Linked DNA regions of Cricetulus griseus. The protein of the gene in region 3 interacts with the protein of the main gene of each other region in a pairwise test. Links are inferred from orthologs where the notes say so. Each region holds a gene or a part of one and is shown on either strand. Other genes may lie near its edges. The genes, in order: Trim23, Ywhah and Tnfaip3.

Region 1 (3,654 bases), about 52 Mb from region 3:
GTAAAAGTGTAAGTAGTAAGTGATAGATGACAAATAGGTAGATAGATGGATAGATGGCTGTAGATAGATAAATTGGGAGGGGCAGGGGGGTTGGGTGGGAAATATCAAATTGGGTGCTCAAAACATCCAGCAGAAACTACTGACTATAGAAATCCTAAGGCAACCAGCTAGAGTCTCTGGCAGAGCAGATTGTCCTCTCAGATGAAATTTTCAGAAAAAAAAAAAAAAGAAAAACACAAAAAACAAGTAACAGTAGGAACATGACATAGTCAAACTGGGGACTTACAAATACTCAGCAGAAGCTGACTAGGGAAGCTCCATGAGGCAGCCAGCTAGAGTTCTTGCTGGAATTCCAGGCAGAACAGGGCCTTGATTGAGTCTTCTGAGTAAAAGAAAAAATAGCCACAGGTAGAAATAACATCATCAAATCAGGTGCTCACAATGTCCAGCAGAAATCAACTGGAGAAGTTAATGCAGCCAGCTAGAGTTCCCAATTGAGCTTTCTCTCCATGGATGAGCTTCCTGTGGCTGAACTTCATACTTTTCTTTCTGACCGTAGGCACTTTTATATCATGGGATAAAGCAACAATAGTAACATGTTCGGAATGTTTGTTCTCTTGCTGTTTGTAAGGACATGATGTTTGCTGGCTAGTTTAATATCAACTTGATAGGGCCTAGAGTGATTTTGGAAGAGGGAATGGCAATTGAGGAAATGCCCTCACTGGATTGGCCTTAGGGTCACCCTGTGATGAATTTTTTTGATTAATGATTGATGTGGGTGGGCCCAGCTCATCCTGGGCTGGTGGTCCTGGGTGCTATAAGAAAACATTGAGCAAGTCATGGAGAACAAGCCAGTAAGCAGCATTCCTCTATGACCTCTTCATGAGTTCTTGCTTCCAGATTCCTGCCCTGTTTGAGTTCCTGCCATGCCTTCCCTTAGGGATGGACTGTGATGTGAAACTGTAAGCTGATATAAATCCTTCCTCTCCAAGTTTCTTTTGGTTATGTTGTTTTATCACAGCAATAGAATCCTATCTAAGATATGATGTTTTTACCCTTGATCTCTTTTGCTGTTCCCTTTCTCGTCACAGAGTTAGTGCCAGACAAGGGGCTTGGAGGACACTTAACATAAACAGACATGGCTCAGAAGTAGGGAAGCAACCCCAGTTCCTGAGCCAGCTTCTCAGTGAGCTCAAACAACACATGGGTTTACCAATGTAATGTACTGTACATCTCTCCAGCACGACAAGCAAGTACCACTGTGCCTTGCTTTTTACATAGGTTCTGAGGATTGAATTCAAAGTTCTCATGCTCATGAGGCAAGCCTTTTGCAAACTAATCTGTAGCTCCTTAGCTTCTAAAATTTACTTTTAATACTGTGATATTACATGGTCTTTATTGAAAGTTGATGGAGTCTCCATTTTTAAGAGGAAAACTTTATAGGAAATACCATCTTGTTTTCTAGGATGATTGCAGAGTTGTCTTGGCAAAACAAGAAATTACAAGATTATTAGAAACACTGCAGAAACAGCAGCAGCAGTTTACAGAGGTTGCAGATCACATTCAGTTGGATGCCAGTATCCCAGTCACTTTTACAAAGGTGATGTATTGCCCTTGTTTTTACCTATGCTTTCTACAAATTGCAAGTAGCATGAAATGTAAATCAAATTAAGGAGGACACTAGGGAACTCATGAGTTGTAAAATTTCAATAAAAACTTTCATCAGTGGGCAATAGAAACAAGTGAGATTAAATCTCTGTTCTTATTTCACAGTTTAAGTAGAATTGTACCCAAGACATTTAGTAATTTTATATTTTTATACTTTACTGTCAGGTATCCAGCTAATACTCAAATTTCTTAGATTCTTTTTGGAAAACATTCTGAAGGAGTGGCCAGTGCTCTTAACCGAGGAGCCATCTCTCCCGTTCCTGTCTAGCTATCTCTGCAAGCCTCCATTTTCAGTTCTTGTGGTGATATACCCAGAAATAAAAGTTAGGGGTCATGTAGTAAGTTTTTTTCAAATTTTCCATTAAAAATTTTAAATTTTTTTTTGTTGTGAGAAAGGTTTGTATGTAGCCTGTGCTGGTCTCAAACTCACTATATAATAGCTAAGGATGACACTGAACTAATGATGATACTCATGATTCAACCTCCAGTGCTGGGATTATAGGCTTGTGTCATCACACCAGGTTTTTGTCATGCTGGGCATGGAACCCACAGCTTTGTGCATGTTTTGCAAGCATTCAGCCACATATGTTATCAGGAATTTCTGTGGTATTTTACATATGGTTAACATATCATAATCTTACTGTTGTTGTACAAATATTATAATTTCTCCACATTTTGGATAGTGGCCATCTTAACCTGTATGACATTTTATCTTAACTGTGGTCTTATTTTGCATTTTGTTTTGGTTAACAATGTTTCTTTCGTATACTTTCCTGTTGTTTGTCTTGAGTAACTATAAGATTTTGGTTCACTTTTTTTGTTGTTGTTTAAGAGTTCTTTATGAATCATGGGTATTTACCAGTCTCTTTTCAGCTTTTTTTTTTTAATTTCTAGATATTTTACTTCATTTGATAAATTTCTTTTTCACTATGTTGATTATGACCTATTATGCAGAAAGGTCTTAAATTTTATGTAAATTTCTTTACCTGTTCTTGCTGTGCGCGCGTGTGTGTGTGTGTGTGTGTGTGTGTGTGTGTGTGTGTGTGTGTGTGTGTGTGTGTGTGTGTGTGTGTGTGTGTTTCGAGACCTGGTTTCTGAAATTCTCTCTGTAGATCAGGCTGGACTTGAACTCACAGAGATCTGCCTGCCTCTGCCTCCTGAGTGCTAGGATTAAAGGCGAATGCCACCACTGCCAGCCTGTTTCGGTTTTGTTGCCTGTGCTTTGGTATCATATCCAGGTATTTATTGTCAGGTTCAAGGTATTGAAGCTTTTCTTTGTATTCTTCTAGCTTTATAGTTAGGAGTGCTTTCATTTAATTCATTTTGAGTTAATTTTTGTGTGTGGTGTAAAATAAGCGTACCTGTTCATTCTTTCACACACCAATCTTCAGTTTATTCATTACAGGTTTGAAGACCATCTTTTTTCTTTGTTGAGTCATCTTTGGAATCCGTGGTGCAGATCATTTGGTTGTATATGTGGTGGTTTACATTTGGGCACTTTACTCGGTTTGTTTGGTTTTGCGTCAGTCCACATGTTTTTCATTTCTGTGGCTTTGTAAAATATTTTGATGTCAGAAAGTGTTAGTCCTCTGACTCTGTTCTCTTCAAAATTGTTTTAGCTGTGTTCCTTGAGGCCTATAACATTTTTTTCTTCCCCACAAAAGTTGTCTTTTTGTTTTCTAATCTGTAATTTGGCATATATTATACAAATACTCTACCATTGAAGAGTACTTTCACTCCATGTCATTGGGATTTGGGTAGAACTTACACTGACACCTGAACAATATTGATTTTTCAGATCTATGAACATGGAATGCCTAAGACGTCTTTATTAATTTTTTTAGATTTATTTATTTTATGTATATGATGCTCTATCTAAATGTATGCCTTTATGCTAGAAGAGGGCGTCAGATCCCACTATAGATGGTTTGAGCCACCTTGTGGGTACTGAGAATTGAACTTAGGACCTCTGGAAGAGCAGCCAGT
Region 2 (3,754 bases), on a different chromosome or scaffold from region 3:
ATATATCCCACTAATATAGGTGGCAAACATTAATTCTGGTAGGAAACAACTCCCCTTATTTTTTTAGTAGTTAACTTGAGGGAATGTTTTATCACAAATTTGATGGTGCAAATATTAAATTCTCTGTTCCTGGTGTCTTTTCCAAACCATGAATCATGAATTTCTAACACACTCAAAGGTTCATTAGCTTGTAAAATGTTATCTTAATGCCCCAGGGAACATCTGTGAATAAAATAGGCAACTTCATTTTCAAGCCCATTTAGAGAGACCAGAGGGCCTTTTTTTCCCTGATGAAACTATATTTTGTTCTGGTAACATCTCTCTAGTCTTTCCTAATTTCCCACCTCAGGAAATTGGCAGCTCCACATACATGACAGCCGTTTTTCCTTAGTTTTAATTCATCTTCATATAAGCCCCATCCATCTTTCTCTTCAACATTTTTATCTCCCAAAACTGCAGCCTTCAAGTACCACTCACACCATGAGCACAGGCCTCACTCAGGGTCCAGGGAGAGGCCTCAACTTGCAGAATCCCAGAGCTATTTGGTGACTTGGTGTGTGAACAGTGGTGGCTTTCAAGATGTACATTAGTGATTACAGTCTTGTTTCCAAAAATTTGCAAAACCATATTTTAACTTTGTTTTCTTAAAGGAAGAATTCACAATTTCTTCAAAGTCCAGACCCCAAACCCAGAACATCCCCTGGTATAAATGAAAAGCTTGTATATAATCAGCACAGCATAGCATAATAGTGAAGTCAGTCTCACCAATGAATCAACAAACAGGGTTTCCAGAGACATTTTGCTGAATGTGTAACAGGGCACTAGAGAAGATAGTAACTTGATTATCTGTTCTTACCTGGGAAATCCTAAATGTTCACCTCAATTTTATATCTCATGTAGTATCAAAATAAAGTTTCCAAATTATATTAACAGGAGTCTCTAGGTTTATAATTTTTTATTTAAGAATCATTTCAAAGGCCAGCTATAGGACATATGAGCTACAATCTAGGGCAGTTAATACTTACTCATTTAAGTCAGCTAAAAACTGCCCTAAGGGCTGCTTAAAAGGCAGATTTCTGAGTCTCACTCCCAAAATGCTTGTCTATGGTGGAGTCCAAGGAAATTCTCCCCAAGCTTAGGAGGTTTACACCAAGACACTTAGTAGCCACGGTTGCACCTCTATCACTGTGACCTTGACAAGAAATATTCTTGACAAGAGAAAACCCAGGACCATGTGAAGAGTCGTCTATAGTGGGGTGGTAACCAGAATTCAAACCCTCGAATAGGCAGGTAGGCTCTAATCTACGATACTTGCTAGGGTGTGGCTGGGCATGTCTCCTTTACCGGAAATCAAGTTGCAGAATCCATCTATGAGGGTCTCAGGAATGCAAAGGCACCCAGGTTTGCTTCATTTTCATTTCCTCCGCAGGCAGACACGCTGCACTGAATGTTGGGATATTATGTAGGGACCCACGCCCTCCTCACGCCTATGACTTCTGGAATGAGGTCTTCGCACACAAAGCCAGACCCGAGGTGTGGAAAATGGGAAAGAACCAACTTCAGGCAAGCAAAGCAAACAGGTCGTGGCGGAGAAAACCAGGAGACGGGTCTCCAGTGGCTGAGGATTCTTTATTACAAGTGGGTGAATGGTGGAAGGGAAGCACGTTTCGCCTCAGGTCGGAAGAAGGGTCTAGAAGCAGGAACGCGATTTCCTCGTGTACCCCCTCCCCCACCAGGGCTCCGAGCGAGGCTGCGGCGACCCCTGCCCGCCAACCTCCGAGGGGAGACCCCGCCGCGGCAGGGCCTCAGGAAATGGAGAGCTCGGCGGCCGCCGCGCCCAAAAGGTGGCTGTGCGCTGGGAGGGAGCCGCCGCCCAGGCCCGACCCGCCCCACAGCCCCCGGCCGCCCGGCTCCCGGTGCGCTCACCGCCTTCATGGCGGAGGCCATGTCGTCGTAGCGCTCCGCCTGCTCCGCCAGTCGCGCCCGCTGCAGCAGCTGCTCTCGGTCCCCCATGTCTCTCGCGACTCGGCCTCGCCTCGCGCGCCCGCACCGCCTGCTTGCTCGCTCGCTCGCCCGCCTGCCCGTCCGCTTCCCGGTCTCCGCCGAGGCCGCCGCCGCGCACGCGCACTGGCTCGCCGGCTGGCGGGAGGCTGCAGGCTGCGCCGCGGCTCGCGCCCTCTCGCTGGCTGGCTGCACGCGCAGTGGCGAGGGCCGCGGAGCCGCGGAGAGAGGACAGGGGGGCGCCGCGGGCGGCGGGAGGGAGGACGCGACCACGCCTGCGCACTCGGAGCGGCGAGCCGCGGGAGGGGGAGCGGGGCGGCCCAGCCCTAACGGTCTTTTTTAAGGTGACGTCATCTACTATAAATAGCTGCGGCTAGGCCCAGCGCTGGAGAGCGGCGCAGGCGCCCTAGGAGTGCTGCATTTTACCGCCGCAGTGTTGGAGGGTAGGGAGCGGCCAGGGCGCGGCGATGGTGGCTCCTCAGGCTGGCGTTGTCGCCGCCCAGGCCAGGAAAGCGTCACAAAACCCATGTTAGAGCTCAGGTTTGAGAAGGGCCCTCCCAGCAAATAACCCTGTGTGGAGAAGCCGCCGCCCCCCACCGAGGGACGTCTCTGCTCCCTGAGGCCACACCCAGCGCTTGGGTCAGCTCTGGTGGTGGCTCCTTCCCTTAGGGACAGCTCCTCAGAGACACTGGAACCCACCATACCGCACCCTGAGAAGTGACCTTCGGCCAGCTCTGGCTTTCACAGGGCTGGCAGGTAGCTTGGCAGAGTTTAACGGTCACGACAGGCCTACGAGGAGCTGGCCCACTGCTGGGCCTTAACTGGCACTAACCTATTTCATACAACCGACTCCACGAAAATCACAGCAGGCCCCCATTTTTCAAAGCCCAAGTGCATGCCGCGACCCCGGTTAAAAAAAAGTTGGCGACCAACCTGGTCGACTTACCCTGTCTGTTTCAAAGATTTGAAAGGAAGTTTGGGGTTACAACACAGAGGTACCATGTTTGCCTGGTGTGAGCGAGGGCCTGAGGTGGACCCCTCAGTGGAAGAAGCAGCAAAAATGCAAAGCAAGGGCACACACACTTCCTGTGTGTGGAGTGACCAAAATCTGATTTCAGTATCTTCTTGGACTTCTATGGCAATGGACTGACTGGTCACTAAGCCCCTCCCAGGCCTGCAATTCCATGCTAAGGGATCCTGGGTTGGGCCTTAAGACCAAGCTAGGAAAAAAAAAAAAAATTAAAACAAGCACTCTAGCCAGTCACAGGTGGCTCTCTGAGTTCCAGGACAGCCTGGTCTAGAAAGCAAGTTCCAGGACAGTCAGGGCTACACAGAGAAACCCTGTCTAGAAACAAAGCAAAAAACAAAACATCCCCAGAGAATCACAGGAGAAGGGGCCTTAGGTTGACTGAGAACTGTGCGTATTGAAGGCAAGGGGGCAGAGATGAACCCCAGACATTGCTCTTCAGAGCTATCATTTTCATTTTTAAATATATAGAGAGGACGTTTTAAACTTTTTGTATTTTGAGACAGAGTTTCTCCGTGTAACAGTCCTCGCTATCCTGGAAATTGCTTTGTAGACCAGGCTAGCCTCGAACTCACTGAGATCCAGCTGCCTCTGCCTTCCAAGTGCTGGGACTAAAGGCATGCGCCACCACCGCCAGACTGTTTCTAACTTTTTTAAACATATTTGGGTGGAAGGCAAGTGGGGTGAGGGATGCGTGTGTAGAGGTCAGAGGTGTGTGTGTGTGTG
Region 3 (2,887 bases):
GAGACCCTTGGACTGCAGCAGTTCTAAACCTGTAGGTTAAGACGCCTTTGGGGGTTGCATATTAGATATTTATATTACAATTCATAACAGTAGCAAAACTACAGTTATTTAGTAGAAATGAAATAATTTTATGGATGGGCGTCACCACCACATGAGGAACTGTATAAAGGGTTGCAACACTAGGAAGGTTGGGAACCACTGGTGTAGGGTGAGACGCTTTCACATATCCATCTGGGTTCTGTGCCATTGCTATTAAACCCAAGGCCGGTGCTTGCTTGAGTATCTCATTCTAATCTGCTGATTGTTTCGTGTGTGTGTGTGTGTGTGTGTGTGTGTGTGTGTGTGTGTGTGTGTGTGCGCGCGCGCACGCGCGCAGGTGTTCTTGTGTGTGCATCTATGTGCAACTGCATTCGCTACCGCATAGGGCTTGTACAAAGGTGATGGGAATTCACTCAACTTCTCATGTCTGTGCAGCAACCGCCTGATTATTTTGCATTAGTTATCTCTTTTTCCATGGGTAAAGGGTGCACCCATGGCTCATTATATATCAAAGTCTTCATATTTTACCCCATTTTCTCCCAACATTCATGAATAAAAAACATTAAAATTTGTTCTTAAATAATTTATTTTTTAATAATGACTTTTGTGAAGTTACAGTTCTTTAATAAAACAATCTGAAGAAGTCCAAAAAAGGTAGATTCCATCCTATGAAGACAACTAAATGTGCAAATTTCACATACTTTCTATAAGTATAAATAATTTCATTGTTTCACATTAAGAATGAAAATATCAATAGACACAAAATATTAGGTTATCAACTTTGAAAGAACTAAATGAAAAAAAGACAAAGATGTAAGTCAGGAAAGACAGTGTCAGATAAGAAGAGAAAAGGCTATATAGAGTTATACATCACAAACATCTTCAGGTGCTGGGCTAGAACCCAGGATGTCAGCCCTTCCCTCTGGAGAAATGCATCTCCCTCCAAAGGCAAGCGCAAAACACACAGAAAAGCTACAAGCCAATGGCAGAAACCTCCTCATCCTCATCGCTACTGGCTTTGCGGTTCCAAGGCTTGGGTTCCTATCCAGTACCCCAAGGGCACAGCATTTACACAGTAAGCAAAGGTCATGAAAGGCCACATATTTCTGTGTCCCTCCCCACTCCATCCCTATCTACTCTTCAAAGAGGTAGGATACTTGGAAGCATCTACAGGAGACACACCACAATTTCTTCCTGTGCAGCCGGGGAGTCATTAGAAGTATCAGCTTCTACAGGCTTTATTCATAAAGCAATCCCTTCTTTCCTAGGGAGGCAATGAGTAGAGAGGGCAGACAACTGCCCCACCACACCCCGAGGTCAGGAATTTGCCAGGTTCCCAGAACATGGCGGAAAGCAAGTATGTTATTCCAAGAGAATACTGCAGAAGAAAATCTTCATTTAAATAACGTTGAAGTCCATAATAAATAAAGTACGATGAGGGCACCCTTTAAGGAGGCAGCTTGTTGAATTCACGTAACAAGCTGCATACACAGAGGCAACCTGACAACAACCAGAAAATAGGTTATTATTATTCAGTCTTCCTATTACCTCTGGGGCACCATTTGAATGTTTAAAAAACAACTCCCTTATACATAATATAAGGGTATATTACATATGTACACACGCTGATACACACCTCTGTGCAAACTAGTCTCTCTGGAACTGAAGACAATGATGACCAGTGGTGGCATGTCTTCCTGCTAAGATGTTCTGCTGTCTAAAAGGTGTATGCATACAGTCAAGAGCAGCTTTTTTTGTCTCCATGTGAACATTTCTGTTTCAGCAGCCTCAGGGTTACAGTCTGTGTGCGGCTCTGCTTTCAGACAGAACCTTGGGAACCAAGCAGGCAGATAGGGAAGCCCACCGACTACAGATGCGCTCTACCCATGTCATTTCCCCTGAGCTTCCTCGAGCTTCTGGCTGGCAGAGGGCCTTGGTACTCTGAGGATTCAGCTTTGGCTCTCTGAGAAAAGCTTCCAGGGTGGGGGTGGGGGCAGTTAGGTGGTCTCAGGCTCCAACCCACCTGTCCACGTGCTTTTCTCCTGTTTCCTGGCAGGTGGGCACAGGAACTGCTTGCCAGTCCTAGCATGCATTCCATGTCTCAAGATCTCACCGGATTCCTGGTAGATGAGCAGCAACAGCTTCAGGCTGAATGTGACATCATGCATTGCCCATCACGAGGTCTACTCTCAGCCTACCTGGACATAGTCTTGGTTACCAAACCCGAATGTCACAGCCATGATGAAGAGCTTATCTTGTTTCCTTTGCTCAAAGACACTCGAAGCCACTGTCCCAGGGCCCACCCTTCCTATGGCACTCAGGGGTCTGGAGTACAGCACCACTCCGCCTGGCAGTTTGAGGCCCCTTCTTGCTGGGCCAGTCCTCTTGCTTGCACTTAGCCATACATCTGCTTGAACTGGAAGCACTCGTTGCAGTAACCGTTACACTTGGCATTGCCGAAGTGATCGCAGGCGGGGGCCCGGCAGCGCTGTTTAGGGAGCTCTTCAGAAGTGGGGTCACCCCGGTGAGCCACAGAGCCCACTCGCTGGCTCAGGTGCTGACACTCCATGCATAGTTCCTCACTACGACAGGCCAAGATGTTCTTGCAGGAGGCCCGGGCACACTTGGGCCTCGAGGCTCCCTGTGTCGTACGGGGCATATCTCTGAGCTGGCTAGATCTCTGTGTGGGAAGAACAAGAGAAGGATGTTACATTTCTCAGGAAACCAGACGGGGGTTTCAAATAACAGATTTGGATTCTACAGAGGCTTGAGCTGACTGAGTGAGAGAAGCAGAAAAATGTGCAACTGAGGGTCCATAGCTCCCCACCAATCCTGTGGACCCAGTTTG

The links.
Region 1: the proteins of Tnfaip3 (region 3) and Trim23 interact in binary tests that used the Homo sapiens proteins (3 or more experiments, as listed by UniProt). The two-hybrid records come from large-scale screens. The link is inferred for Cricetulus griseus from reciprocal best matches to the Homo sapiens genes TNFAIP3 and TRIM23.
Region 2: the proteins of Tnfaip3 (region 3) and Ywhah interact in a two-hybrid assay, tested with the Homo sapiens proteins (2 studies listed by BioGRID). The link is inferred for Cricetulus griseus from reciprocal best matches to the Homo sapiens genes TNFAIP3 and YWHAH.

What each region holds. Positions count from the first base shown.
Region 1 is NC_048595.1:322,464,655-322,468,308, forward strand, and holds part of Trim23 (E3 ubiquitin-protein ligase TRIM23), read left to right. Parts: intron 1-1,465; coding exon 1,466-1,600; intron 1,601-3,654.
Region 2 is NW_023276807.1:102,061,292-102,065,045, reverse strand, and holds the start of Ywhah (14-3-3 protein eta), read right to left. Parts: upstream 2,217-3,754; 5' UTR 2,014-2,216; coding exon 1,927-2,013; intron 1-1,926. UniProt on the Homo sapiens protein: Adapter protein implicated in the regulation of a large spectrum of both general and specialized signaling pathways. Binds to a large number of partners, usually by recognition of a phosphoserine or phosphothreonine motif.
Region 3 is NC_048595.1:270,735,097-270,737,983, reverse strand, and holds the end of Tnfaip3 (tumor necrosis factor alpha-induced protein 3), read right to left. Parts: intron 2,720-2,887; coding exon 2,435-2,719; 3' UTR 608-2,434; downstream 1-607. UniProt on the Homo sapiens protein: Ubiquitin-editing enzyme that contains both ubiquitin ligase and deubiquitinase activities.